Pelodiscus sinensis: one gene and its partners. The protein of the gene in region 1 interacts with the protein of each later gene in a biochemical or structural test. Links are inferred from orthologs where the notes say so. Each region holds a gene or a part of one and is shown in the gene's direction. Other genes may lie near its edges. The genes, in order: ARF1, PLD2, AGAP1 and ARFGAP1.

Region 1 (7,243 bases):
CCTCTGCCTCATGCCATTCCCATGCCCCTGAAGTTTACTCTCATGTTCACAGCCCAGGACATGGAAAACTATTAAGCTATTAACTGATTTCAATGTTTATTTAATAATACTTTTGGTTGTTAAAGAGAGTTTTGAAAGTCAAATTTTGTTTTCCTCTAGTTGTGCAATTTGTAAACTTGCTTGAACTTCGTTCACCGTGGTCAATAAAACCATAGATTGATCTATTTCACTTTCTGATTAATACCACTTTATGGCTGTGTCTAGACTGACAGTTGCAGGAAAAACTTGCCAGCTGTCTACACTGGCCGCTTGAATTTCCGCAAGAACACTGACGATCTCATGTAAGATCGTCAGTGTTCTTGCGGAAATACTATGCTGCTCCCGTTCAGGCAAAAGTCTTTTTCCGAAATACTTTTGCGCAAAAGGGCCAGTGTAGACTGCACAGTAGTATTTTCTGCAAAAAAGCCCCGATTGCAAAAATGGCGATCAGGGCTTTTTTGCGGAAAACCGCTTCTAGATTGGCCACGGACACTTTTCCGCAAAAAGTGCTTTTGCGGAAAAGTATCCTGCCAATCTAGATGCTCTGTTCTGAAAATGCTTTTAACGGAAATCATTTTCAGAAAATCATGCCAGTGTAGACGTAGCCTACCAGTGTTGCCGATTTTCATGTTTTTATGGAGAATCCCATAATCAACAACCCCAATTAGTAGAGTTTATGTGAGCACATCAGAATCTTAGCTTTCATTTGTTAAAAAATCAGGTTCTAGCCTCACAGTTGCAGAAAAAAGCTAGACAATGTGACACCTGTAAATCTTAAAGACCTACAAATCAGAAGATAAATAAAAATAAACCCAAAGATTTTTTTTTTTAGAAATTCATTATTTTTAAGCCAATCTCAACAGCTTTGGGGGGGAGGGAGCACTGATTTTGTAACATATGGGTTGGCATTACTGCTTTAGACTTGTTCAGAGCATCTTCCATCTAAGGCTGTTAAAGCACTTTCGTCATTTGTATCATTTGAAGTGAGATAGGTAAGTAATCTGAGAAACTGAGGTACAGGAAGATGAAGGTCAGACACAGACAGAGTGGCAAAGGTAGCAACGTAATCTAATCTCATGACTTCCAGTCTTCTGCCTTTCTCTGTGTGCTTAATCTTTATAACTGCAACCATGGTGGCACACATAATTGAGGCTGGCTAACCCAGGCCTTCTCAAGCTTTAATACAGAATGGACGGATCATGTTTTAATAGAGAACCCTGTCCCCTCCCATCTCATATCTCCACCCCATTCAGAACCACAGAACATCCCTATCACAACTACAGAAAATGTTTACTTAAATGAATAATATTAGGAAAGTATGTTCCCTTTGCTTCCTTTACCGCTATGCCTTTTTCTCTGTGATTTAGTTCTTCTGTGATACACTTAGATATGCTCCACAATGTTAATCTCTCTTCCCTCTCCCTACCTGTACTCCCCCACACTTGTTCGACTTCCTTACCCCCTTCTCCCATGATCCTCAGGATGTTGCATTTTTGTGAGTAGCCATTCCAATTCACAGGGGGTTCCCGTGCCTGACACTGGTCCTATTCTTTCTGCATACTTCGAGGCACTTAGGCCAACTCCTCATTGTTTTATCTGCTTTGACATTCGGTTTTTGCAACTGGCAAGCCCAGATCTCATGGCAGCAGCGGGAAACAGGAATACCACTGTGACACCCAAAACATACCAACAGCAACGGTCTGTGGTTCACTGGCCTAAATCATAGAATCATAGAGCTGGTAGAGACCTCAGGAGGTCATCAAGTGCAGCCCACTGCCCAACGTAGGACCAACTAAATAACCTAGCCGAGGCTTTGTCAAGCTGAGATTTAAAAACCTCTAGGGTTTTTTTTCAGACTTGGTTTCTGCCTTGGTTCCTGCCTTGGTTTCTGCCTTGGTTTCTGTTTTTGGAGTGTTTTTAAACTAGAAAAAAACCAGTTCTTTCAACAAAGCATACTATCTCCACTAAAAAAATTATAGCATTTTATAACCACTATACTGCTGAAAAGGGGGAAGGTAAGAAGTTGAAATTGAGCAGGAAAATAGCCCTGAGGCAGCAGAAATGCCTTTTGTTGTCTTGATGAAAGTCTGTTTTGAATTTGCCAAACTGTGAAAGTTTGAAAATCATAATTTGTGGATGCACATGTCTTCTAACAACTTTGAAGCTTATTAACAGGTGCCTGCCAATTATCTGTGAAAGTAACTAAAAATTTATACAGGTACTGCCCTATTGCAACTCGGGTCCCTGCCACCTCTTTAAATAGCTCCAAACTGGTTTTTGCAGCAGCTCAGCCAGCTCTTTCTGGAGCTGTGTGCTAGGTCGCACCCACTTACTTTCACCTCTGCTGTCAGTAGTCTATATAGGAAAGAGGAGCATGCTTTGTATGGACAGCATTGATAAATGGGTATGACAGTAAAACCCATGATGAGCCCTTCCTCATTCAATGGAAGAGTGGCTACTCAAGAACATCAAGCTCTTTGGGGGAAGGCATATCATTTTGTACAGCACCTAGGATAATGATAAGTATCAGAGGGGTAGCTGTGTTAGTCTGAATCTGCAAGAACAACGAGAACTCCTATGGCATTTTATAGACTAACAGATTTTTTGGAGCATAAGCTTTCGTGGGCAAAGCCATAAGAACATAAGAACATAAGAACGGCCGTACTGGGTGAGACCAAAGGTCCATCTAGCCCAGTATCCTGTCTACCGACAGTGGCCAGCACCAGGTGCCCCAGAGAGGGTGGACCGAAGACAATGATCAAGCGATTTGTCTCCTGCCATCCCTCTCCAGCCTCTGACAAACAGAGGCCAAGGACACCATTTTATCCCCTGGCTAATAGCCTTTTATGGACCTAGCCTCCATGAATTTATCCAGCTTCTCTTTAAACTCTATTATAGTCCTAGCCTTCACAGCCTCCTCTGGCAAGGAGTTCCACAGGTTGACAACACGCTGTGTGAAGAAGAACTGTGTGAAGCCCCACTTTGTCAGATGCATGTAGTGGAAATTCCAGAGGAAGGTAAATATACAGGCATAAGAAAAGAGTTCTAATCAAGAGTAAGAATAATGATATACTGGCCAATGATTAGGGCTTCCGGGTATTTGAAAACTGGACCCCTTACACACCATTCATCTGACAAAGTGGGTTGTGCCCACGAATACTCATGATATCATATACACTTTTTGTTAGAAGATGCTGCGGGACTATTTGTTGTTTTTTAAGTTTTTCCAGGTACTACCTCATCTCAAAAAAGATATCTTGTCATTGGAAAAGATTCAAGAAGGGCAACCAAAATAATTAGGGGTTGGGCATGGGTCCCGTATAAAGAGAGATTTAAAAGACTTTGACTTTCCATCTTAAAAAAGAGGAGACTAAGGGAGGCTATGACAGAGGTCTATAAAATCATGACTGGTGTGGAAAAACTGAATAAGGAAAAGTTATTTACTTGTTCCCATAACATAAGAACTAAGGGTCACCAAGGCTATGTCTACACTGCACCGTAGTTTGAAGTAAGATGAGCAATTTGAGCTTATTAAGATAAGATTGCGTATCTTATCATGACCTTATTTCAAAATAGCTTATTTTGTTATTTGGCGCTGTCTACACAGCACCAAATTTTGAAATAACCCGGCACTTCCGAAACGCCCCTTATTCCTCGTGGAACGAGGTTTACAGGGCTATCAGACTAGTGAGCCCGAAAGAACGGGCTTGCTGTGAAGGCGCGGGATAGCTAGTTGGGGATACTCCGGTATCCCGCAATAGCGTTGCAGGGCAGAGGTAGCCCAAAGGAAACGAAGAGGTTTAAAACAAACCAAAGGAAGTTGTTGGTTTCACGCATCAGCGCGCCGTCCACCTGTGGAACTCCTCGCTGCAGGACGTGGTGAAGGTTCGGACTGTCACAGGGTTCCACAAGGAGCGAGTTGGAGGTTAGGTCCCTCAGGGGCTGTCAGCCAGGATGGGTCGGGATGGCCTGTGCTTGTCTGGGAACGGGCGACAGGGGGGGGATTCCCTGTTCTGCTCCCGCCCCCTGAGCAGGCTCTGCGGGCGCTGGGCTGGGGCGAGTGGGAGACACGTCACTCAGGGGAGGGCGTCACGGCCCCGCAACGCATCCCCTCTGGGCTCCCCACACTGCGCCTGCGCCCGCCGCTGCCCCTCCCCCACCCGCCTCACGCGCCCCGCCCTCCCCCGGGCTTTACCCGTCGTGCCCCGCGCCGCCCTGGCACACTGACGTGGCCGCCCCGAGCCGCCATCTTGTGAGCCTGGGCGGGGAGCGGGAGCGCAGCGCAGGAGGCAGCCGGCCCCGAGCGAGAGCCCGCAGGAGACCCCAGCGCCGGGTAAGCGGCCGCGCGCCCCCCCCCCCCCCGCCAACGGCTCGTAGCCCCCCCCCTCCTCGCCGGGCCCAGCAGGCCGCGCTGAGGCCCGGCGCTGGGTGGCGGGGCCCGGCCCGCCGGGAGACCCGGGGCAGCGGGGGCGGGCTGGCGTGTCCCTGCCGCGCGGGGGGAGGCGCCGTGGGGAGCCAGGCCTAGCTCCCCCCCCCCCCCCCCCCCGCCGGGGCCTGACCGCGGGTCCGCCCCCATCCCCCTACTCCGCTCGGGGCCCCGCCCTCCGCCCCGGCCTGGCCGCGGAGCGCAGCCCGGAAGGGCCCTGCCCCGGCCCTTCTGCTGCGGGGGGGGTCGCCGGCTCTCCCCCTCCGAGCGCCCGCGGGCTGGGAAAGCGTGGGGGGGGGGGGCTCTCTGAGAGGGGCTGACCCAGCGGGGCGTCGAGCTGCTGCCTTCCCCCCGCCCCAGGATTTCAGCACGGCGTGGGGTGGGCGAGCCAGGCAGGCAGCCTGCCCCCGGCTGGCGCAGAGCAGATCAGCCTTCGGCCTGTGCGCTGCTATCTGCGGCCCATGCGTGGCACCCCGGGAAGGGAGCAGCCCCCGCACAGAATAGTGATAGAAATGTAGCCGTGTTAGTCTGGTCTAGCTGGAACAAAATACAGGACTATGGAGCACTTTAAAGACTAACAAGATGGTTTATTAGGTGATGAGCTTTCGTGGGCCAGACCCGCTTGGAAGTCCCACGAAAGAAGTGGGTCTGGCCCACAAAAGCTCATCCTCTAATAAACCATCTTGTTAGTCTTTAAAGTGCTACATTGTCCTGTCTTTTGTTTCAACCCCCACACAGTGCACCTTGCCAGTAGTACAGGGCTCTATATTGGCAGCATGCATTCGCCATGAGACCTGAATGGGTTGACTCCATCTTGGTGTAATTAAAACTATCGTGGCATAAAATCATCCCGGCACAGTATTTTGAGTTTGAGTTCTGGCAAAGCAAATTCCGCAGGTTGATTTGCGTGCATGCAGAAGTTTTATTTTGTATCCATCCGCTTCACCTATAGCTATATTATTTGAACAGTTGACTTTGCTATGCAGCCACTGAGTCTCTGAGCCCCTCTTTGAAGAACATTATTGTTTATCCTTGTTGTACAGATGAGAAACTGAGAGCTTAAAGTTGAGTGATTTATCTAAGGTTATGTAGCAGACCATTCTATGACTGCTTTTGCCACAGAAGTTTAATACTCTAATCATGTGTCTTACTCAAATTTGGATCATTCCATGTTGTGTTCTTCCTTTAAGGAAGTTAGAATTTTTCTCCAAATATTCTTTTTCTTTCTCAAAATGGTGCCATTATATACACTATTAAATAGGTATGGAAGGAAAATTATTTTCTGAAAATAGTGTTAGGGTTTGATGCTGTTACTTCTACTTTGCACATCCATGATTGTTGCAAAGTTTAAGTGTTGTTTACTTCCCCAACCCCTTACAGTAGTCATAACTTTTGATGAAAAGGTGAGGAAACTACCTGACTTGACACTCTTTAAAACTCCTTTAGAATCAGGTGCAGGGTAGGTTGTGTCCATAAGTAGATGGCTTGAGTGGATCATGGTATCCACTCATTTGCTCTGGGTTCTTAATACAGCAAACTTGAATTGGGTGTAATGTCTGTTTCTAATCTCAGCATCAGTTTGTATCAGCAAATAACTTTATACAAAGGGATCTGAAAGGTGGGTTTTTTTGCATGCTGATCTGAAAGGGTACTATAAAAATGGTGGATTCTAACTCAGGTCTTTGTAGATCTGAGTCATACTTGCTGACTCTACTGACAAAATGTAGTCAGGGCTTTGCTAATAGTAGACTAGATTCTACACCTTCTTGTGACTCAGCACTGTTGTTCACTGTGGCACCCCTGTGTAAAACTGTTTTTTGGTATTAAGGTTTCATAGGTATAAATAAGGGCATAATTACCATGAAGAACTCATTACATTCACAGGTTTCTTCTTTCACTCATCTTTCCAAAATGACCTTTTTCTGTTGCACCTGCTTAGTGGAAAGTTTCATTACTCTGGATTCTTTACAGTGGGCAAATCTGGTCAACACTAACTCTGGCTACACTACAGTTTAACTTGACATAAGTTATGTCATTTGGTGGCTTGAATAGGCCACCCCACTGAGTGATAAAACTGTAGCACCGGTGTTGAAAGTACTATTAGGAGAGCTGCTGACAGTCAATACTGCTTGTTAGGGGTAGATGATTCCTATGGATTGGATAGCTCTTTCTCTTTGCTTAGAGTAGTGACATTAGAGAGCTTAGAGGTGCGTGCAGCTAGCTGCATTACTGTAAGACAGTGGTCTCCAACCTTTTAAAGCATGAGATCAATTTTTGAATTTAAGTGCAATCCAAGATCTACCTCAAACCCAAATACCCTTGCCCAGCCTCCTTTGTACTTCTTTTGAGACCCCGCCCCTACTCCCTCCATCCTCCCTCCCTTTCACGAGGCAGGGGCAGCGGGTTGGGATGCAGGCTCTGGTCTTGGATTAATGGATTTGCAGTGTGAGGGGCTCTGAGCTGACCTTGAGGCAGGCAGTTAGGGTGTTGGAGAGGGTTCTGGGTGCAGGCTCTGGCAGGGCATTTGGATGCAGGGGTGCTCAGGAATAGCGCAGGAGGGGGTTTATGACTGGGGTAGGGTTTCAGGACGTGGGCTTCAGCTGGGCACTGCTAACCTCAGGTGACTCCTGGGTGGTGATGCAGTAGAGCTAAGGCAGGCTCACCCCTGCGTTAGCCCTGCACCACTCCTAAAAGCAGCCAACAAACTCCCATCTCAAGCTCTGTTGTACCCCCTTCTCTGCTCTGTGGAGATAGGATACAGAGGGAGAGGGGGCACTC
Region 2 (7,764 bases), on another chromosome or scaffold:
CTGGGGGGGCAGTGGGCTGTGTTTTGGTAGGGTCTCCTGGGGGGGCAGTGGGCTGTGTTTTGGTAGGGTCTCCTTGCTATGCTTGTAAGAAGCATGGGGATCTTTTTCAGGGGAAAAGGCAATACACAGTGTTTACTGAGAATACAGTGGAGAAGCAGTTAACACACTTTATAAAGACACACACACCACACCACCCAATGGTGCATAAGTCAGTCTTACTGTCTAGACAAGGCTGAGTGAGGAGTCAGGGCTCCTCTGTGGCTTGGCTTGGCTTGAAGGACTGAACCCAGAGTTTCATGGCAAGACCTTCCCTTCTTATACATGTGAGTTCCTATTGGAGTCTATGGTTGTCTACACTGGTGGCTTCTTGTGCAAGAACATCTTGCCAAGGGTTCTTGTGCAAGAAGTCTTGCACAAGAAAACGTCCACACTGCCATGTGTGAGCTGTGCTTTTGCACAAGAGCGCCCATGGCGGTGTGGATGCTCTCTTGAGCAAGAAAGCTCTGGTGGCCATTTTAGCCATCGGGCTTTCTTGTGCAAGAAATCCCTGGTGAGTGTCCACACTGCCCTCTTGCGCAAGAGCTCCTGTGCAAAGAGGGCTTACACGTGTTAAAAAAGAGCATAGCTCTTGCACAAGGAGCCGTCTCTTCCATGCCATACTGTAAATTTCCTTTCGCAAGAGCAGGCGGGCAGTGTAGACACTCTGCGGATTCTTAGGCAATAACCCGCCAGTGTAGACATAGCCTATGGGTTTTGCTGCAATCACCCATCCTTAAAGGAGGTGTTAATCTTTGACCTTTGATAGTGATTGTCAGGCTTCTCATCGTTCTCTCTCACTCTTGGTGGGGTTTCTACCTGTCTTCAAGGTTGTCCATGCTGCCAATTTAATTCAGTCTCAAGACACAATGCAGGGTTCCTTATTGTCTTCAAAGTTTCCACTTCTTGATCATCTGCGCATCTGTGATGGCTTTCATTCACACGCCTTCTACTCACACCACACAAAGGTGCAGTTTCAGACAAGATCAATAATTACTGAAAGACACAACTTAGTTTGTGATGCAGACAAGGGTTACAACTTAATTTGTAATGCTAACAGGGAGCAAGGCCTTATAGTAACATTATCTACTCATGAGAGACAGAGAGAGAAATAGAAGCAGATAGAACTTATAAGCAAGTCATTATACATCAAATAATCAGGTTTTGACAAATCGGCTTTATCTACTCGCCCATGGGGAGTAGTTTTCAGCCGGTCACCCCGTTCACTGGCGGTTCACGCATGTGCAGTGCTGGTCTCGCACATGCGCAGTGCGGGGCTGGCGAGTGGTTTTTGCTGCAATCGTCGAGCCTGCAAATAATTATACATCATACCTAGTTTTATAATGAGGGCTCGACAAATAATACAGTCTACTTGCCCGTGGCGAATAGATTGTAACCCGGAAGAGCCGGATTCGGGCCGAAAAGTGCAGCTGGTGAGCAGGGCTTGCCACGGTTCGGTGGGCCCTGCTTATAACCGATACTAAAATATACATTTTTGCTACATCCTGAGGGAGGGCAGTGGCTGTGTTTTAGTATGATCCCCCAGGGGAACTTGGGCGGTGGCTGAGTTTTGATAGGGTCTCCTGTGGGGCAGGGCAGACTGTTTACAGGGGCCATGCAAGAGTCCTTTGCAGGCTCTGGATGCTCGCGATGTAAATGGTTATCTGGTTAACCGGTAAGCATCACCCTTAACCTGTGGGGGCTGGAGCAGCTTCCTTCCCACAGCTCCAGCCCCACGGGAGCTGCTTCAGCCCTGTGGGGCCCTCCACGGGTAGGGGCTGCTCCTGCCAGCTGGCCAGAGAACCCCCTGGCCTTTTTGCCTCACAGGTTGCACACTGGCTCCCTGGGAGTGCACCGGTGGCAGAGCCTTCTCCTGGGAAGCTGGACTGGCAGTCCAGGGAGGCTTCATTGCCTATTGCTTCATACTGCAGAGCCTGCAGCATATAATCACTGAGATTTTTAGCAGTTACACGGGTACATTTTAAAAACTTTTTACATTCTTACTGGAGGCTGGTGGTTACGAGGTGTCTAACCGATGGGGCGGTGAGGAAATGACACATCCCTGGCCCAGTGTTATTGTAGGGTTTCCTGAGTGCACTGGGGCCGGATGTGTCGTCTCCGTTGGCACCTGCGTCTCATGGGCAAGTTTGTTATGGTAGAGTGTCAGGGCGGTGGGGCTCTGTAGGGCACTGATCATCTGACTCCACCTTCCACAGCTCCTATGTGGCTAATCGAGTGACGGACAAACTGACGCCCATCCACGATCGGATCTTCTGTTGCCGCTCTGGCTCTGCTGCTGACACGCAGGCCATTGCTGATGCCGTGGCCTATCAGCTGGGCTTTCACAGGTACCTGCCCTGGGCCACATCAGAGCAGGCTCTCCATTCCCTGCCATCTGAGCCAGCCTGTCCCTGTGCAGGGGCTGGGCAGGAGCTGGCACCCCCTAGAAGTCAGTCCCTGGTTCCTCTCTGACTGTGGTTCCCTCCCCCTGCAGCATTGAGCTGGACGAGCCACCCCTGGTGCATACGGCCGCCAGCCTGTTCAAGGAGATGTGTTACCGCTACCGCGAGGACCTCACCGCTGGCATCATCGTTGCTGGCTGGGACAGGCGCAAGGGGGGACAGGTGAGCGGTGTCATCCTAGGGCTCAGCCCAGCAGGTGGAGTTAGGGACATAGCCCTTGGGGGCACGCAGAGTCAGGGTATCTCTAACGAGCACTGTGGGACAGGGAGTGGGGCAAGGGATCACTGGGGGCCTCAGAGGTGACTGCAACTTAGCACTGGATGAAGGGTCCCTGGGTAATCTGCCATCTCACCCCACAGGCAGCTGCATCTCAGCTCTGTGCAAGGGGTCTCTGTAGCCAGCTGCCCCGCCCCACAGGTGGCTGCATCTCAGCACTGGGCAAGGAGTCCCTATTAGGGATTTGAAAGTGACTGTGTATATGGTCACGTGTGGGGAGCTGTCTTAAAAGCCAGCACCTGGTGCACACCAGGTCATGAGGAGCTGTTCTCCTCCCCCCCCCTCCCCCCCACGCATAACCATGTAACCATTGAAACTTTCAGCAGTAACTCGTTTAATTAAATGCATTGTAACATCCCTAGTCCCTGTGTACCTGGCTTCTCAGCATCGGGTGAGGAGGTCCTGTGTAACCAGCCACCCTGTCCCAGCCATGATCTCTCCGTCTTTCTGCCCCAAGGTGTTCTCGGTGCCCATGGGTGGGATGATGGTTCGCCAGCCTTTCTCAGTGGGTGGCTCAGGTAGCTCCTACATCTATGGCTTCGTTGATGCCTCCTACAAGCCGGGCATGAACCAGGAGGAGTGTCTGCGCTTCACAGCCAATGGTGAGTAGACCCTCAGCTTCTCACAGCTAGGGATGTGAATGGGTAACTAGTTACCCAGTAAGCATTACATGTTGCCCAGGAGCAGCCCCTGCCTGCCTTAATGTTTAACTGATTAAATAATTAAACGGGATTTTACCCCTCTATCCTGGGCAGCTGGGACCCAGGCATCCAGGATGGCAGTGTGGGTTGTATGTCCATAGAAGGAGGTGTTACCCGCTCAGATTTCTCTATGCCTTCCACACTGTAGGGATACACACCTTTACCCAGTTCCTAGGGCTCAAAGTGCAACCCTGTTAATTTACACACTCACCCGTACCCAATTCCTAAGGCTCAGGGCACATCTTTCTGCGGGTTAGGCAGGATCTTTAGCCACTGAAAGAGCCTCACACAGTAATATCCGTATCCTCTATTTATTGACAATTCCCAAACAAGCAGAATACACATGCTAAGCACACAGTGTCATGCTCACCAATCCTGGTACAGGCAGACTTCCCCTGTTGGCCAGGGAAGGGGAAGATCTCTCTAGATCTTAGCTGCTGCAGTCACAGTCTGGTCTTAGGCTGTGTCTCGGAGGTGATTTTTTTCTTCTAGGTCTTCCCCCTTCTTCTTGGTGTTTCTTGTCTGCTTTTGGTCTTCCAGCCTTTTGCTTCTTTCCTTCTGCTTCTGTTACTTTCTATCTTCTTCTTGGTCTCCTTCTTGGACCTGAGTTTATATAATGAAACCTGAGTCCTGCTTAGCTATACCGTAACCAATTATTTTAGTATAATTTTACTAACCAATCATACCCCACCACCTTAATTGATTTACACCTAGCAAAATTAATTATACAGCAGACAGGAACAGTTAAACCAGACAGATCTCTCAGTCAAACAATAGGAAAGTGTAATGACAATGATCATAGAATGAGGATTCCACAACATTCTCTATTGATAAGTAACACCATTCTGTCTGGCAAGAAACTGTTTAAGTTTTCTTTACCCATCTTGAGATCTGTTTCTTTATCTGGTAACAGTGGAGGAGCTATCAGGACAAAATCCCCTCCTCACAGATTGGTGTGATGCTATTTGAATACAATTTAGATGGAATGTGAGGATGTGACTTGAGGCCTTACAGCTAATGGCTACTGCTCTTCAGTCTGGCTGCAGAAGGTGGATTTGGTTCAGGCCTTCCAACATGGCTACAGAAAAGCCATATTGTTACAGAGGGGTTGGCCCAAGGCATCTATGCTGTGCTTATCCCCCCCCCGTATGCTCTCCTCTTCTCCCCTTGCAGCCCTAGCACTGGCCATGGACCGGGATGGCTCGAGTGGGGGGGTGATCCGGCTGGCTGCCATCACAGAACAGGGCGTGGAACGGCAAGTCATCCTGGGAAACCAGCTGCCACGCTTCTCTGCTGCTTGACGGAGGACACCCTACACACCCTGTGCCACTGACTTATTAAACTATGGAACCCATGATGTGCCTCAATGATTCCACAGGATGCCTGGGTTCCCTGCCCAGCTTGGGGGAGGGGAGCCTGTAAGCCAGGACTCCTGGATTCTTTCCTTGTCTGTGGAGGGGAGCGGGGAGGCCTGGACTCGGATTAACCTGGTGCTGATATGCAGCCACTGCGGGGGTTAGAATGTGCCTATTCTCTGCCCTGCAGATCCAGGGGCTGGTCTTCTGCCGGGACTAAGTTGTGCAAAGGGGCCAGGCTGGGGTGGGGGCTGTTTACAACTGGCACCACTCAATCTTGCCCACCAGCCTCAGCCCCTACATGAGACCTGATGGAGCACATCTGGTGCCCTTCAATGCTGATACACAGCCCCTGCTACCCCAGTCATAGGCTCCCCCAGCTGTGCTGCTGACCCTCACTCCTGCCCTACAGCCCTTGCCAGCCTAGGAGTGACACTGGTGGGAGAAGTTTCTAGTTGTTGGGCTGTGGCATAGGGTGGGCATTTGGGGGCCACTCTGGCTCAGAGCCAGTGTCCCCCCAGCCCAGGTTCCTACACCAAAACCTCACCTGGCTCTGAATCTTCTTAATGGAAATGGATGTGGGGGGGGAATTAACACATCCTGCCTCCCACTGCTTACCGCAACCCCCTCCAACCCCATGTCCAACCATAAGGGGCCCTCTTGGGTGAGAGCTCTTTGCAGGGTTGAGAGTTTAGCCCAAAGGGCAGGGGAATCTGGGATGCTGGCTTAGGGCCTTTCTGTGAGTCCTAGTCTTTGTGCTGTCAGCAGGGCTGGTTGGTGCTGGGGGTCCCTGTTTCCATGCCAGCAGCTGGAATCCCTGACCATGAGGTTGCCCCAGTCATCAGCACATGAAGTCGATGGCCATGGGGCTGCCCCAGTCAGCATGTGGATTTTCTGGCCATGGGGAGCTGGAGCCAGGAGACTGGCTGGCACTGTGGGGCTGCCTCAGTCATTAGCACGTGGAGTTGATGGCCGCAGGAGGCTGGGGCCATGGGGCTGCCCTCATCAGCACATGGAGTCAATGGCTGTGATGGCACAGCTCAGCTGGTGGTAGGAGACTCATGCGTTCTGGCTGGGGCATCCAGCTTGCTACAGGTGGAGGGTGTGGAATGGGCTTGGGGGGCAGGTCCCCCCTCTATGGGATGACCAGGGGTTGCTGGAGGACAGGAAAGGGAAAAGGTTGGGTATCTTGGAGCAGGACAGTGGCTTGCTTGCAGGGGAAAGAGGGCATGGGAGTGGGATGCAGGGTGGGGGGGGGGGTCTGGGAAGGGGGCTTCTGGAGTAAGGGATGAATGGGTGGGGGGAGGATGAGAGATACTCACCTGTGGGCTGAGGGCCCCTTTGCTATGCCCAGCCCAGCAGAAGCACCGCAGGAGCCTCAACCCCATCTGCCCAGTGGCTTGTGGGGCAGAGCAGGGGCTCTGGCAGGGTCTGTGGTGGGGGTCTTTGCCCCCCAACTCATGGGGGTTGCAGCTGCAACCTCCTTCCCTCAGAACTCTCACAATCTGTGCAGGGGCCCTCAGACCCAGCCCCCCTCCCAGCATCACCCCAATGGCTCCCCTGTGCCCCATCCCTGGGCAGGGAACCTGGCACCTCCATTGCCCTGCCATTCCTTTCCTCTGTCCCCCAAAGCTACTTAATTCCTTACTTCCTACCCCAATCCGGGCCACTCAGTCCCTTGTCCACCCCCCTTACCTGCAGATCTCTGGATGCCTGGGTCCCGCCTAGCCTTCCCTGCTCTCAGCTATGGAGCTGGGTGCAGCTGGCTCTGGGGCGTGTCTGCCAGGCACTGCCTGCTGGCAGCTTCCCAGCCTCCCCAGAGGTACGGGGCTGGACTGGCAGGGGCTGCGGGTTGGGAGTGCGGGGCCCTGGCAGGGCTGGGGGAGCCAGGGGCTGCCGGGAGACGCACCCCAGAGCCGGGCCGGGCCTGACCTCCCAGCCCATGGCTCTGTCCTGATCCCCAGTAGAGTCTGGGGAGCGCTCAGGACAGCAGCAGTATTTGTTATTGTAGGGTCTCCCCGAGCAACGCCCCCACCATCCCACAGGGACCCAGCCTGTGGGGCGGAGTGTGCCCTGCTTGGGATAGGGCGGAGGCTGCTCTGTCCCGGGACTGGCTCCAGCCCCCTCCCCCACTTCCCTTCCCGGGCAGCGCCGCCGCCTCCCGCCCAGCCCGGCGCGCCGCAGGGAATCGGGGCCGGGCGGGGACGCCCCGGGTAAGTGTCCGGGATCCCCGTGCGGGGGAGTCTCTGGAAACTCCCTTCCCCGCCTTGCAGGGGTCTCCGGCCTCCTGAACCCCGCGGTGGGGGGACTGGACCTGCTCTCCGCCCATAACAAGGGCAGGCTCCAGTTGGTTCGTGGGAGGGGTCTCGGTTCTCCCCTGCCCCTTCCAGACAGGGACCCCCCTGCGTGCAGCCACGTTGGAGGCGGCGGGGGGAGCTCTGACGGTCCGCTGCCCCCCCCCCCCATCTCGCTGCCCCACGTGACTCGTAGCGGACTCCAAATCTCCGTGAACTTCTAGCACTTTTGTGACGGGGGCGGGAGCGAGGGGCGCCGGCAGGGCTGTGGGTGGGAGCGAGGGGCGCCGGCAGGGCTGTGTGTGGGAGCGAGGGGCTGTGGGGATGCGAGGCCCGGGGGCGGGAGCGAGGGGCGCCGGCGGGGCTGTGTGTGGGAGCGAGGGGCTGTGGGGATGCGAGGCCCGGGGGCGGGAGCGAGGGGCGCCGGCGGGGCTGTGGGTGGGAGCGAGGGGCTGTGGGGATGCGAGGCCCGGGGGCGGGAGCGAGGGGCGCCGGCGGGGCTGTGGGTGGGAGCGAGGGGCTGTGGGGATGCGAGGCCCGGGGGCTCTCTGCCAGCGCCACCCTTCCCAGGCTTAGAGGAAAGGAACGTTGTATAACTCCCCAGCCCCGCCTGCCCAAACCTGCAAGCTCAGGCGCCGCT
Region 3 (7,649 bases), on another chromosome or scaffold:
TATAATGCTGTATTAAAGGGTGTGGCTTTTGCATTGTTACAGAAACAAATGACAAATCTTTAGAAACAGTCTCAATAACTGGCTTGTGGCTTACGACTGGGAATTTCAGAATGATTGCAGTCTGCCAGATCGTTTTTAGAAGAGGTGTTAAGACTTTGCTCAAGAGCAGAGAAAAATTCTCTGCTAGGAGTTTCGTGTGTATGTAGGAGTCTGTCCATCCAGAGCGTTTTTCAGAATTAAAGCTGTTGGCTGGAAATATATTAACATTTGCTATATCCTTTCTGGGCTGTTAAATGGAAAAATAGGTTGTCTGGCAACCTTTAAACCAGTAAATTGTCTTAATTGTTATTAAGGATAATTTTATGAGCATTTTTAATCCTCCCCAGAGGCTCAAATGGAAAAGAGTAAAGGCCAAGTTAAAAATAATTGTAAAATATGATCCTCTGATGACCTGGGATGATGAGGAAGTTGAACTCAGCTCTAGAAACAGCTTGTATCTGTGGCACTGGCCGCTAACGATGCCACTACTTTGTGTTTTAGCAATGTTACTATTAATGTTAAACATTGTAAAAGTCACGTGCACTAGAGGCTCATTCAGCAGTGATTTAAAACTAAACCCAGTTGCGTGCCTCAAAGTGGGAGGCTGACGACACTGGCTAGAGGCCATGCACGTTGTGGAGAGGTGCACGGAAATCTTCATATGGGTCTGCTGATCTACCTGAGGCTGACCTGCTGTATTCTGATTCTGGGCCTCTCCTGTGAAGTAAGAGTTGAGACTAAAGTTAGAATTCAGGCAAGTATCATGAGCTGTTACTTTACTAAGATTGGACTGAAGTATTGTGGATTGTGGCAGGAAAAAGGCCCACTACAATACTGTGCAGTTAGTCTCGTCAATAAATAGTTGTTTAAACAAATGTAATATTGGAGTTATTGACAAGTAGCATATAATGGATGTTTCATAAATTAATATGTAATAAAAGCACATTAATATCCACCTATAATATTGTTAACTATTGTTTGTATTGTGATTGTGCGCATTAATATTTTAAAGTATCAGTGCAGTTTATTTTGCAGTGAATGTTAGTTCAGGTTGAACTTCTCTAGTCCAGCACCCTTGGGACTCGATCGGTTCTGATCCAGAGAATTTGCTGGACCATAGGAGGTCAATATTGTCTAGCAGCATTACCAACACTGCTCCTGCTTACTGGGCTGTTAGAGGTCATTTTGGGGTAAATTAGAGCTAAATAACAGCACAAAACACTGAAAGCTAGTTCTGGTGGCTGTGAACAAATTTTATGGGACCACAGGAAACTTGGCCACACCTATGAAAAGTAGATATCTGACTGACTAAAATAATTGTGGACCGCAGGATTGTTTCTGGATCAGAGAGTTCTGGACTAGAGAGGTTTGACCTGTGGCTGTTTGTCCTTGAAGAGAAGCTAAAGGAGACCTGTTGGCTCATTGAGTCTGCACGCCTTCAAGTATAAGATAAAGCAAGTTATCTTTATGATAAAAACATGAGTCCAGCATGATTTTGATAGAAGGGGAGATGTGTGAATAAGCCAGCAGAAATGTCCTGCCCTCTATGGAGATAATTTTTAAAGTACCGGTATTTCTGTTGTACTGACATACTAAATTGAAAGTTGTGCCTTGATGGACTTCGCTTGAACTTGGTTAACATGCCAAAAGAAATGATGCTTTATGTATTCGCTATAAATATTTATGAAATAGTTAACATGTTTTATAGTATTGCTTAATTTGAAAAAAATTTCCTGGAGAGACTCCTTTAACAAACAATATTTTCCTGGCATTTCTTGCTTTTAGTACGTACAGAGTCTTTGGACATCTTACTTTTTGGTTGAGTGACATTTATTTAGATTTCATACCTGTGGTATACAGCAGTTTTTATACTTGTATGTATGAATTCTAAAGGTAAATGTTACTAATATGTGTTCCTGTTTTGGTAATCTTAGAATGAGAACATTGCTGAGGTGAAATATTATATGTTCAAGAATGTCCCAGAAAAGTTAGTAATGATATGGGGTAAGTCCTTTGCCAGTAATTGAGGGAAGCAATGACAGCACATTTAGATGGTACACATTTGAATGCCAGCAAACTTAGTTGCATTAAGAGAAAGCTTATGTCAGTTTCAGGATGGTAAATAATGCATGACTAGTCAGTCTGAAAAGCAAATTTGTCCATCCTCCACTGGTGGTCTCTTTGAAAGGAATTGTGTTTTTTCTGTATAGAATGGTATCTGAACTACTCTAAATGATGCAGATTGTAAGAAACCCACAAGAACCAAGCTTATTTGATTGAAATAGGATAACTTCTATTGTAAAAAAATCTAAAACCTGTCTGCAGGTTTCCAAGTGTATACACTGACAAGAGCTTTTTGCATGTGCCATCCTTTGCATTGGGAACTACTATTCTTTTCTGGTGGGGAGAAGGAGTGTGATTTCTGAATAGATGATGAAATATACAAACTAGAAGGGATGTAACGACTATGTTTTCTTTGAAAAGAATAGTGTGTTTAAAGAGGTTGAAAGAACACTTGTAGACTATTGGATTGTGCTTGAAAGTCATTCCACTGAAGATTCAGTCATCTAAAACAGAAATGGATTCTTCCACTCCATAGTAAGAAACCTACTTCTGTGATACAGCACAGTGGAAATTGTGGCATGGAGTTTTTTTGGAATAATTTACAATAGCCAATGATAATGAATACTACAGTGACTTAGAGTGAGGTTGTGTGCAGTGATGGTGTAGCTGTGTTGGTATCAAGGTGTAGCTGTGTTGGTATCAAGGTATTAGAGATTCCAGCCGGGTGAGGTATTTCAACCATGCAAAGGTGAAAGCTCCTCTCTCAACAATGGAAGTTCATTCAATAAAATATATTAGTACCTTACCCACCTTGTCTTAGTGTTAGGTTAATATTTTGTGACACTGTATTATTATTTGGTGGAGGTATTGTGTGCTTCCACAAATACTGTACAGTTCAGGACAACTTTAGCCCTGAACAGCTAGAAATAGTAGTGTCTGGAAATACTAAAAATTGATAATGGTTAGGTGGTTTGTGGAGTGAAATGATTAAATGTGCTGTAACTTTTGCACTTACAGAAAATGATCATTTAGGATCAAGTGGCACTTTCAATATTCTAAAAAACATCATACAGATTTCAAAACGTTATCTTACTCTAGGAGTGGAGCTGCAAACATCCATGCAGAAAAGACTGAAGAAATTGTGAATATTTGGGTACAGATACTTACTATCTGGCAGCAAAATGAGCAGTAAAAGTTAGTGAACTGTTGCAAAAAAAGTTAAATGGAAAAGCAAGGATGGGTGGCCATAATTCACTCTCTCATGTGAAGTTGTTAGTGGATTTCAGTGAGTTAGATGTGTTGCAGTACAGGGGGCCATTAACAACATAGGTATGGTGTTATACAGATTCCCTTTGTTTGAAGTTGAAGTAGTGTGTGCGCAGATGAGGTGTGCCCAATGCTAAGGTGACTGTATCACTGAATAGATGTATCTGGTTTTTGTTCTGATTTTAGATGGAAAGAAGGCACAATAGGGGCTATCATTTACAAAACTTTGGTTTCCTTTCTTGGTGTTAATACAATTTTCTTAGCTTCTTTAGTTTACTCTGTTTTTTTTCTAAATGTGTTACTTGTGAAGGGTGCCAGATTTGACAACACAGGAAAATGAAGTAACTGTTCACCAAGAAACAACAGGCTTAAAATTGTAGCAAGGGAGGTTTGGTTGGACATTAACTGTCAGAGTGGTTGAGCATTGGAATAAATTGCCCAGGGAGGTTGTGGAATCTCCATCACTGGAGATATTTAAGAGCAGGTTAGACAGACATCTGTGGCAATGATCTAGAGCTTTGGTGTCTAACATACTGGCCACTAGCCAGATGTGGCTATTTGGCTGGTTAAGTGTGGCTAGTTGGTCTAAACACTGGGGCTATTTGGCTCGTTGAGTGTGCCTAGTTTGCTATAGCAGTAGTCACTGTAGTGGCTACTGTTTCAGAAATGGTTAGATGCCACGGATCTAGATGGTGTTTGGTCCTGCCTTGAGTGCAAGGGATGGCACTTGATGACCTCATTAGGTCCCTTCCAGTTCTAGTGTTCGGAACCAGATAGACCATGAGTAGAACCACTTGAAGTTCTAGCACAGTTTTTTACCTGCTAGTGAGCTTTAGTCTTAACTTGGAAGTATTTTCAGGGTTGAGAATATAGCTCATTCTAGATATCCCTTCCTGTTTTGGCTTCCTAGCACATCAAGATAAGTGATGCAACTTGAGCTATGTCAATTGCGTAGCTTAAATTGAAATATCTTATTTTGGCTTTTGGTACTGTCTACACAGCAAGAAGTCCAAGAGAGAGAGCACTCTTCCTCCGACTTTCCTTATTCCTCGTACAGTTAGGGTTACAGGAGTTGGAGTAAGAAGTCCTCCCGCTTGACATTATTTTGTCATCATGTCAAAACAACCGCTTGTAGTGCAGATGTGGACTTTGTTGTTTTGGAGTAACATCAGTTATTCTGAAATAATGCTGCTGTGTAGACATAACCTAGAGAATATCTTCACTGCCAGTTGGGACCTGTGACAGTTCACTGAGAGTATGTGACAAATTCTAACTCTTTGGATAATGACACCATGGACAGGAACTGGTTTGTAACAGGAGACCAACAGGTGAAAAGCTGCATATGCCACTGTGGCCCTCAGTTTTTTTAAATGACTGATCCTGTGGCTATCAACAAGTGCAGGAGGAATGATTGCAGGTGGGGCTAGGTCTTGTAGGGCAATGGGATGAGTAACTTTCCCTTGAAGTATTACTCCGCCTAAGGAAGGAAGATCAGTGTTTTTTCTCCTCTTCTTTCCATTGAAAAGCCCTTGCTGCTGGGGATCGGGTGTGTTTGGGTCTAGCGAGTCCGCAGGAGAGCAGCAATCCAGTCCGGCACTTCAATTCTGCCGCTCCTGCTTGAGGCGCCGCTCTCTGCGAACGCTGGCCGAGCGGCTGGGAGACTCCGGGCGCGGATTGCGGTTGGAGGGGCTGCTTGCGTGGGGGTCGGGTTACTCTGCCCCTGTGCAAGTGGCGGCGGCGGGCCTTTGCGTTTGAAAGCTCTCCCTCGCCTGCAGCCGGGGCAGGGCAGGGCCGGCCGGGAGGACTGCGCCGGGGTTCCGATCGGCGAGGGCAGAGACGCGGAGTGACTGGGGGAAAGGACCCAGCTCTGCCAACGTGCAACCCCTGTAAACAATGAACTCGCAGGCGGCTCCGGCTCCGGGGCTGTGAGGGGCAGCCCCGCTTCTCCTGCGCGCCTTGCGGGCTCGGCGGGAGGATGCAGGCGGCGCGGCCGGCTCTTGCCGAGGGGGCGAGGAGCCGGAGCGCATGGAGCCGAGCCCCGTGCGGTGGCGGCGCTCGGTGATGTGAAGCCTGCTCGCCAGCGCCGAGCCCAGCCCAGCGACTTGGCTGCGTGGCGCGCCCGGAGCGCCCGTCGGGGCATGGCCGGGTCGGCGGCGGCGGCCTGAGGGGAGCCATGTACCTGCTGGCCGGCAGCGAGCCGCCCCCCGAGGGGATGCAGCGCGGCGCCCCGCAGCGCAGAACCGTCTACCGCATCTCCGTCACCATGGTGAAGAAGGAGCCGCTGGCGGCCGCGGAGCCGCCTCGGGCCCGGCGGCGGGCGGGCGGGCAGCTGCCGGGCTCCGCCAGCCTGCCCCGCGCCGGGCTGCTGCTGGAGGAGGCCGAGGAGGAGGCCGAGGAGCTGGCGGCCGGGCCCTGCGGCGTCCGCCGCTTCCGGACCCTGAGCACCGGGCAGCTGGAGCTGGGCCGGCTGCAGGTGGCCAGGCGCCGCCTCGCCCCCGAGCCGGCCCGCAGGTGGCCGAGCCCCGCGGCGCGCCCGGCGGAGGCTGAGCTGGGGTTGGCGGAGCCGGGCCGACTGCGGCGCAGCTTCAGCTTCCGCCACTGGAGCGGCGGGGAGCTGGCGCGGGCCCTGTCCCGGGCCAAGCGGCACCGCAGCTCGGGCTGCCTGGCCCCGCCGGCCGGCCCGGCCGAGAAGCGCAACACGCTGGACGTGGGCGAGGTGCTGAGCAAGGCGGAGCCGCTGGAGCGCTGGGAGCGCAGCAAAGGCAAGAACCGCACCCTGGACAACAGCGACCTGCAGCGGCTCTCGGAGCGCCTGGCGCGGGCCAGCCCGCCGGACCGGCTGCTGCGCTTCTTCAGCGGCATCTTCACCCGCCGGCCCGGCACCTCCACGCCCTTCGGCAGCCCCGGCGCCCGCGCCTCCCGGGCCCGCGGCTACTTCAGCAGCCTGCGCAGAACCGCCGCGGAGGCGCAGTCCAGCAGCGAGAGCATCGGCGGCTCCCCGCGCAAAGGTGCCTTCTCTGTCCGGGGCTTGGGGCGGAGGGAGGCTCGGAGCCCGGGAAGCCACCGCCCCTCCTGCTGCTCTTAGACTAGCGCCAGGCGCCCTCCTTCCTTTGCTAGAGCGGGAGCAGCCGGAGGCTGCCTCCACCTTCCACCAGGTACACGAGGGCACCGCTCCCGAGAAAGGCGCATGGCATGAGCGGGGAGGCAGCGCCTTCCCGGAGCTCTGGTCACTGCCTGGGCAGTGGAACGGGGCCCAAGTGCAGCTTGTTCCTTATCTAAGGGGGGAGAAGAACGCCTGAGTTGCCTTTTATAGGTTACTAGGTCAGGCAAGTGCTCTCTGATAGTTGACTCCTTTCTAGCAGTTGGGGAGTAAGAAGTGTAATTGGGACCCACGCCGACAGCAGTTTAAGGCCGTCTTTTTAATCCTGCCCTGGAATAAGATGTCGAATAAAAGAGAGAGAGAGAGATTTAAAATCAACTTGGACTTCAGTTATGCAGCTTCAGTATGAAAAAATATTTTTTCTACTTCCCAGTAATTCCATTTTCTGTAACTTTACTAGGCTATTATTGATGTAGTGTGACATGAATTATATCAGTATGTAGACTACAAATATTTCAGAGGTTTCAAAAGAGGTTCAGAAAAAGTAATAGCTTACAACCAAAGTACATTCAATGACAAAAGTGTTTTACTTTTCATGTGCAATAGAAACTGTTTCTGGAGTGTACGTGGGTGTTTTTATTTTGAAGTTAACTGTAGTATAGCTTTTCATCCTTAGCAAAGTATTGCATCCAGTAACCCAACAGGTCAGGTGTAAATAATGACTGCATTCTTTAGGTTGTAGATATCATTACAGTCAAGTAATGCCTACAACTAATAACTTATGCATTCGAGCACCAGGCTAATAAACTATTACATATGTCCATGTGAGACTGCAGTAAATGCTATTGTAACTGTTGTAGAGTTTGAAATAACCACAGCAAGGAATCTAATTTTTCACACAGCTTTTTGATATTTGCTTCATGCCAAAATGTTTAGGCTGTAATTTAAATTGTTTTAACAGTACAAAGAGATATAGGGAAACGACAACATTCTTACATTGCGGGGTAGATATGTAAGAAAAACAATGCTTTTCATCCATTTTTATAAAGAGGTGTGTGCAATGCTGGTTAAGCAAAAACATATTTCCGGTAAGATTTTCTCCAAATGCAAGTATTGTAAAACTTATCAGTGCAAATTTTAAATTATTTGCAATTCTTAATATGGACTAAATTTTTTCCCT
Region 4 (7,594 bases), on another chromosome or scaffold:
GTGTGGATACAATCCTAAGTAGTGATTTTTCAACAACTGGCATCACCTATAAGCAAGTACTTGAGGCTAGAGGGAGTAACAAGGCAAGTTATACAGTACAATCAGAGGGAAGCAATTATTCTATTAAAGGCTACTAAGATTTCTTCAGGTGGAAGATAACATTTAACATGCTTTTATCTCTGTTATTTCCCTCATGTAATATAAATAATATTAAAAGACTAAGGTCCCACTCCTGCAAAGACTTACACAAATGAGTAACCCAGGGAAAATAATTAAGACTGCTGGAATGTCTAGATTTAACTGTGTTAAGTCTTTGCAGGATTAGGACCAAAAGTGCTTACTATAATTAACTATAGCATTAAGTGTCAATAACAAGTACAGCACTTTTGAAAACACAGACAAAACCACTCTAATTAATATATTTATTTTGGGAGAAGTCATCGTGGAATGCTTTCTAAGATGCCTTCTTCCCAGAAGCAGGCCAGCTTAGTGTAAACGACCTTATAGTTAACCACTCGTGGAGTAGGAGTGTTTTATTTCTAAGAAGTGCCATTAGGAAATCAGAGGGTGCAGTGTAGAGCAAAAAGCTCCAGGTCTTATCACATTTCCCACCAGTGGCACTTGGAGGTTATTGAAGAGATACAGAAAGCTAAAAATGTGCCAGGTTTCGTTGTTAGGATTTTATTATTATTGCTACATAAGTTATAATTAATTACAATGCAGAAACTGAATGATAACATTTATTGCAAATCTCCCCATCTGATCAGTCCTTGGATTTACTACATTGAGGCAATGTCTACACTACAAGTTTTTGTGACAGAGAGTATGCTAATGATGGATTAATTAGCATGAGTCGCGATGTCATTAGCATATTTTCTGCCAATGCTTTTTGCGCAAAGGTTATTTTTGCGCAAAAATAAGCAGTGTAGCCACTTCCATTTTGTGCAAAAAAAACCCCCTTTTGCGCAAAATCCTTATGCCTCTCCGGAATCTTGCACAAAAGGGTTTTTTGCGCAAAATGGAAGCAGCTACACTGCTTATTTTTGCGCAAAAACCCCTTGTGCGAAAAGCATTGGCAGAAAATTTGCTAATGACATTGCGACTCATGCTAATGAGTCGATCATTAGCATACTCTCTGCCGCAAAAACCTCGTAGTGTAGACAAAGCCTGAGTTACGTAAACATGTTAAAAAGAGGGACCACATACTCACTTGTTCCCTTTCAGTTTAAGCCAGTGGTCTCCAACCTTTTAAAGCATGAAATCACTTTTTGAATTTAAGTGCAATCCAAGATCTACCTCAAGCCTAAATACCCTTGTACAATACCCAAATACATATTTGAAGTCCAACTAGTAGCCAGTCAACCAAGAAAGATAGAATTTGACTTTTTTTTTCTGAGTCCTAGATGTTAATATTTAAAATGTTTGCTTACTCCCACACTACAGATATCTGTCTCCAATTTCAGAGATGGCAATGGGGTTATGTACCTGTCCCAGATTCGAGGAACAGAGCAATTCAAACTTGCTAGGGAACTGCATTGATTCATTTGTATGCTGTGTATGAGAGACATAGTGCTACATCTACACTACAAGTTTTTGCAGCAGAAAATATGCTAATAAGGGACTCATTAGCATAAGCCGTGATCTCATTTACATATTTTCTGCCAATCCATTTTTTTGCTAGGGGTTTTTGCACAAAAATAAACTGTGTGGATGTTTTCTTTTTGTGCAAAAACCCCTTTTTGTACAAGATCCTTATGCCTCAAAAAAAAGAGGTATACTGATCTTGCGTAAAAAAGGGTTTTTGTGCATGAAGGAAATGGCCACACTGCTTGTTTTTGCGCAAAAACCCCTAGCGAAAAAATGGATTGGCAGAAAAAATGCAAATTAGATCACGCTTTATGCTAATGAGTCCCTCATTCAGGACCGGATTAAGGGGGGGTTAGCCGGGCAGCTGCCCAGGACGCCAACCTATGGGGGGCGCCTGATGGCAGCTATAAGGGGCACCGCGCGGCGCCCCTTAGAGCTGCAATCAGGCACCACGTGCCCGATTGCAGCTGTAAGGTGCACAGTGCGCTGGGGGGCGGGACCGTGCATGTGCCGTGTGCCCGGGGTTTGAGCCGCGCATGTATCACGCGCCCGCTGCTGGAGGAGCAGGAATGGCTTGAGCCGGCCCTGCCCTCATTAGCATATTTTCTGCTGGAAAAACTCGTATAGACGTAGCCAGTGCTGGCTTTGTCTCATTACCACTGAATGAAAGGCCCTGATCCTGTAATCCTCACACAAGTACTTACTCCTATTTCTGATTTATTGTGTGAGTGAAGACTTCTTTCATGTTAGGAAGGGTTGCAATATTGCTACCACATGGTGCAAATGTAAGCATCTAGATCTATTTATTGTTCCATGCAATTCATAACTTATATCTTCTGTAAAAGAGCAAGCAATGCATTAATATGCTCCCACATTATTAGTGGCAATTTTGATTCAGTCAGCCAAGGCTGCCACTGGAAGATTATGCTGCCCAGACAGTGTTAGAATGTTCCTCTTTGGTATATTAACCAAGAATAGAGACAGTATTAATACCTCAGTGCTGCATCATTTGTGGCATATGAATAAATGTTGCACAACAGTGCTCCCTTGAGGCTGCAAGCATAAAGTATTGAATATGCAAAATAAACCTATCAGACACACTGCAGAATCAATGCTGATACCAACCACTGTGCCCTAAATCAATTATAGAAAAAGTATGATTGATACGCTAATTAGATTCTCATATAGTGTGTATATAATGGGAACCTCATTTCATATTAGTTCATATTACCAGAAAATAATGGTACTTATCAGAAGAAGTCACTTTGTCCTTAACTGGAAAAGCAAATTATACAGATAGGCTACGTCTACACTGGCCCCTTTTCCGGAAGGGGCATGTTAATTTCAGAGATCGCAATAGGGAAATCCGCAGGGGATTTAAATATCCCCCGCGGCATTTAAATAAAAATGTCCGCCGCTTTTTTCCGGCTTCAAAGTAGGAATAAGATCCTCCAGAAAAGGGCTTTTTTTCCGGAGGATCGGGGCCAGTGTAGACGCTCTTTTCCGGCTTTTCTAAAAGCTGGAAAAAAGCGGCGGACATTTTTATTTAAATGCCGCGGGGGATATTTAAATCCCCCGCGGATTTCCCTATTGCGATCTCTGAAATTAACATGCCCCTTCCGGAAAAGGGGCCAATGTAGACGAGCCCGTAGAATTTACTTTGTTTCATTGCCCGCCTCCAATGTACACATATTTGGAGTCCATTATTTTCTCTTTAATGTAAGGCAAGGATTATGCATGTAGCCACCATTAATAGTAAAAAGAGTTATTCTTGTTAATCCCCCATATAACCATGGCAGGACAATAGACCATTTACTATCAAGGCTGGAACAGGTATAGCACTGAAAATGAGTAGCATATGGTCTCTGTGGCCGGGGTGGGGAACCTCAGGCCCAGAACCCCCCAGCAATGGGAAGCCTGCACTGGTGCTCCAGCCGCCTTGCTGCCTCACCACACAAAATCTACTAATCTGGGGTCCCTTAGGCTCTGGTGAGCAAGGGGGAATGTGCAGAATATCTTTCTCCTCTGTTGGGGGCCACATCAGTGGGGGCTCGTTTTTTGTTTTTCACTTGTGTGTGGCTCTGACTGATTTTTCTGTCCGTCAGTGGCCCCCATGCTACTGGTGCATCTACACTGCACCGCAGGTCGAAATGAGCTACGCAATTTGAGCGATGCAAGCTGCGTCTCTTAGGCTACGTCTAGACTGCAAGCCTCTTTCGAAAGAGGCTGTTTCGAAAGATACTTTCGAAAAAGCTTCTTTCGATAAAGAGCATCTAGACTACAATCAGTACTTCCGAAAAAGCAAACTGCTTTTTCGAAAGAGAGTACCCAGGTAGGCTGGATGCTCTCTTTCGAAAAAGCAGTTTGCCTTACATAGCACCTTTTTTTGAAAGAGCCCTTTCGAAAAAAGGCGTTCTTCCTCGTGAAATGAGGCGTACCGCCGTCGAAAGAAAAGCCGATTTCGAAAAGAGGCGTCCTTGACTGCAAACAGGCGTCTCTTTTTCGAAAGAGAGCATCCAGACATTGATTTTTAATTTCGAAAGAACGCGGCTGTAGTCTAGACGCAGGGGAAGTTTTTTCAAAAAAAGGCGACTTTGTTCGAAAAAACCCTGCAGTCGAGACACAGCCCAAGTGACGTGAATAGCTATTGGGGACCCCCCCCAGTGACGTGAATAGCTACTGGGGACCCCCCCTTGGGGACGTGAATAGCTATTGGGGACCCCCCCAGTGACGTGAATAGCTATTGGGGACCCCCCCAAGTAACGTCATTAGCTACTGGGGACCCCCCCTTGGGGACGTGAATAGCTATTGGGGACCCCCCCCCCGCAATAGCGCTGCAGTGCAGACAAACTCCCCAGGGGCGGAGTCTCTGGGCGGGCTCCTAGTGCGGAGGGGGGCGGGGCGAGTCCCGCTGAGGGCAGCGTCGGGCCCTGTCGTTGGCTCACTGGAGCCGCCGCGTCGGTCGCTCTCGGGCGTCCGACGGCCCCGCCCAGCTGCCGCGCAGGCCGCCGGGCCCGAGGGGGTTAACCCCTTCTCCCCGGCCCAGCATGCTTTGCGAACGTGCAACGTCGCCGGGTTCGGCGGCGGCTGCGCGCTGAGGAGCCGGGTGCGAGCAGGAGCCGGGGCCGCCGCAGCAGGTACCGAGCCGGCCCCTCCCCCCTCCGGCCCCGACTTCCCTCAGCGCCCCCCCCCCCCCCCGCGGGCTCCTCTGGGCCTTGACCGCCCCTCCCCCTGTCCTCGGGCCTGGTGGGGGGCTCCCCGGCGGGGCGAGACGGCAGCCGCTGCAACCCCCCCCCAGCCCCCCCGAGCCCTGGGTCGGTCGAGGCAGCCCCGGACGTGAGGTCCTTGCCGGCCGGTCTCACTGCCGCCGGGGCGTGTCCCTTCGCTGGGACCCGCCTGGCCCTTGGGAGCCCCCCCCGGACCAGCCATCCGTGCAGGGGGGGCCCGGATCAGCCCCTCCCCCCCCCCGACCAGCCATCCGTGCAGGGGGGGCCCGGATCAGCCCCTCCCCCCCCCCGACCAGCCATCCGTGCAGGGGGGGCCCGGATCAGCCCCTCCCCCCCCCCGACCAGCCATCCGTGCAGGGGGGGCCCGGATCAGCCCCTCCCCCCCCCCGACCAGCCATCCGTGCAGGGGGGGCCCGGATCAGCCCCTCCCCCCCCCCCCGACCAGCCATCCGTGCAGGGGGGGCCCGGATCAGCCCCCCCCCTCCCCGGACCAGCCATCCGTGCAGGGGGGGCCCGGATCAGCCCCCCCCCCTCCCCGGACCAGCCATCCGTGCAGGGGGGGCCCGGATCAGCCCCCCCCCCTCCCCGACCAGCCATCCGTGCAGGTGGGGCCCGGATCAGCCCCCCCCCCATGACCAGCCATCCGTGCAGGTGGGGCCCGGATCACCCCCCCGGTAGTTGCATTCCCCCCCCCCGCCCCCACTTGATGGTTTGATCTTGCCCTGGAAAGGCAGAAAGGTTAAAATCATGTGGTCCAAAAAAAAAAAAAAAGGCAGCCCTGGTCCAGTGAGACTCTCCCCTGCGCCTGTGAAGAGCCTTACTCTTCTGCTCCCCCCTCCCCGAAACCTCCTGGGGCGAAGCCTCCATCCTCATTACGAATCTGGCCACGTGCTGATACCGTCTTCAATGGGTTGGATCTGGGTGTACAGCAGGGGGCTCAAACTCAATTTACCTTCGGGCCAGGGCCTGTCCTTAAAGCCTCCTAGTGAGCCAGCGGGTACCCCTCTCTGACCGGGCCTGGGCGTGTGTGTTTGTCCATGTGTTCTTCACCCTCCCCCGTCTGCTGGCCCCTGCGCTCCCCTGTGTTTTCCCACCTGCTGCCCCAAGGCAATTTAAGAGCCCCCTTGGGGGAAGGGTAGCACCACCACTCTGAGCCACTGCTGTCAATTCCCTGTGGCTTGAGGGAGATATGCGAAGAGTTGTCCCATCATTAGGATGATTCGGGGTGGTCTTCCCAGGCCTTGCACTTTGGTGGGGTCCTGTGATGGTCACTCCAACCATTCTGTGGACAGGATGGTCCCCAATACTCAGGTTAGTCTGTGGGGCCTGAGTGGGCCAGTGTTGTCAGCGGTGGTTGGAGCCCCCCTCATTCACCATAGCAGTGCGAGCTGCGGAAAAGCAGAACTACACAGCAGCCTGCTCTGACTCCCATCTCCCAAGGCAGCCTGGGCTGGGGCTGAGGCATTCTACTTCTGGCCACTGTGGTGAAAAAGCAAACACACTAGCCTGGAAGATGATGGCAGAGAGAAATTTTAGTTTTATTATTTCTAATAGGGATGTTAAATATTGACTAATTGATTAGTCGATGCATTTTACATCGACTATTTGATTAGTCGATAGCGTGTCTCTGCCTTTGAAGTGTAGCAAAAGCCCTAGGGAGCCCAACTTCCAAACAAAATAACACATTTTAATTGTCTTTGCCAGTTTCCTCAGCTGAGTTCTGAAAGATGACCAGTATCTGTAAATGTGTATGTAAAAAACCAGCTCTTAGGGTATTACTATTGGTTGTGGCTTAACTCGTAGATCAGGGGTTTTCAAAGTTGGGTTGTGGGCCCATCCGCATAAGTTGCTGGCAGGCCACGAGATGTTTTGTTTTTTTTAGTGTCCATAAGCATGGAGCCTTGTAGCTCCCATTGACTTTTGCCGTTTCCAGTCAAGGGGAGCTGCGGAAAGCAGCAGCCCAACGCGCACAGCTCCCCGTGGCTGCAAATAGTGATCCAAAGCCAATGGGAGCTGCAAGGCTCTGTGCCTATGGATGCTAAGATAAACAAAATATCTCACAGCTCAGCAGCGACTTACCTGCGCAGGCCTGTGACCCAACTTTGAAAACTCATGCTTTTGCCTACCGCAGAACCCCATTTATCCAATCTAATTGGGACTGAGACCTGATTGGATAATCAGCAATCCAGATAAACTGAAGAATGGGAAAGTCTAATGCTGCAGTGCCAGGTAGTAGCCACAAGAAAGACTGCCCCCTTCTGGACCTTTGTGCACTGATTATCAGTACAGACAGCCAGATAATGGAAGGTCAGAGTTCTGTTATAGTTCTAGGTTGACTTTAATGACGTTGTGATGCTTGGAACAGATGAATCCATAATTGAAAAAACATTCACATAGGAAAATAAACACTGAGGGAGTCTTGATCACTAGGGATACTGGAGGGGGAGATAGTCTGAACACAGAACTGGGAGCCAGGGACTTTAGAATTCTAATGGTGCTTCAATAGGTCTCTCACTAGCCCTGGTTAATTCACTTAACCTTTTTCTGCCTCGCTTTCCCCATCTGTACAATGGATGTACTTGTCTATCTCTCAGAACTGCTGTGAACATGCATGACTTCTATAGCACTATAAAGTTGGTGTGATCATGGCAGTCACAACTTTCACTGCAATGCTTTCTCTTGAGTAATGGACTCTCACTCTGGAGCTATGTTATCTGAATCAGGAACTGAAGTTCTTTCTGCACTTGGGTCCTCTGCTTTTTGCCAGCCAGGTGGAGCAT

The links.
Region 2: the proteins of ARF1 (region 1) and PLD2 form a complex in vitro, tested with the Homo sapiens proteins (2 studies listed by BioGRID). The link is inferred for Pelodiscus sinensis from reciprocal best matches to the Homo sapiens genes ARF1 and PLD2.
Region 3: of the proteins of ARF1 (region 1) and AGAP1, one has a biochemical effect on the other in vitro, tested with the Homo sapiens proteins (2 studies listed by BioGRID, with this or other methods). The link is inferred for Pelodiscus sinensis from reciprocal best matches to the Homo sapiens genes ARF1 and AGAP1.
Region 4: the proteins of ARF1 (region 1) and ARFGAP1 form a complex in vitro, tested with the Homo sapiens proteins (2 studies listed by BioGRID, with this or other methods). The link is inferred for Pelodiscus sinensis from reciprocal best matches to the Homo sapiens genes ARF1 and ARFGAP1.

What each region holds. Positions count from the first base shown.
Region 1 is NC_134712.1:252,866,607-252,873,849, reverse strand, and holds the start of ARF1 (ADP-ribosylation factor 1), read left to right. Parts: upstream 1-4,227; 5' UTR 4,228-4,372; intron 4,373-7,243. UniProt on the Homo sapiens protein: Small GTPase involved in protein trafficking between different compartments. Modulates vesicle budding and uncoating within the Golgi complex. In its GTP-bound form, triggers the recruitment of coatomer proteins to the Golgi membrane.
Region 2 is NC_134734.1:8,308,644-8,316,407, forward strand, and holds the start of PLD2 (phospholipase D2), read left to right. Parts: upstream 1-4,776; 5' UTR 4,777-4,854; coding exon 4,855-4,893; intron 4,894-6,525; exon of another isoform or gene 6,526-6,663; intron 6,664-6,915; exon of another isoform or gene 6,916-7,043; intron 7,044-7,764. Other genes in the region: PSMB6 (proteasome subunit beta type-6), read left to right, coding at 2,253-2,384, 2,531-2,660, 3,232-3,376, 4,649-4,776.
Region 3 is NC_134717.1:63,192,230-63,199,878, reverse strand, and holds the start of AGAP1 (arf-GAP with GTPase, ANK repeat and PH domain-containing protein 1), read left to right. Parts: upstream 1-4,637; 5' UTR 4,638-5,542; coding exon 5,543-6,377; intron 6,378-7,649. UniProt on the Homo sapiens protein: GTPase-activating protein for ARF1 and, to a lesser extent, ARF5. Directly and specifically regulates the adapter protein 3 (AP-3)-dependent trafficking of proteins in the endosomal-lysosomal system.
Region 4 is NC_134728.1:6,522,985-6,530,578, reverse strand, and holds the start of ARFGAP1 (ADP-ribosylation factor GTPase-activating protein 1), read left to right. Parts: upstream 1-4,578; 5' UTR 4,579-4,724; intron 4,725-7,594. UniProt on the Homo sapiens protein: GTPase-activating protein (GAP) for the ADP ribosylation factor 1 (ARF1). Involved in membrane trafficking and /or vesicle transport.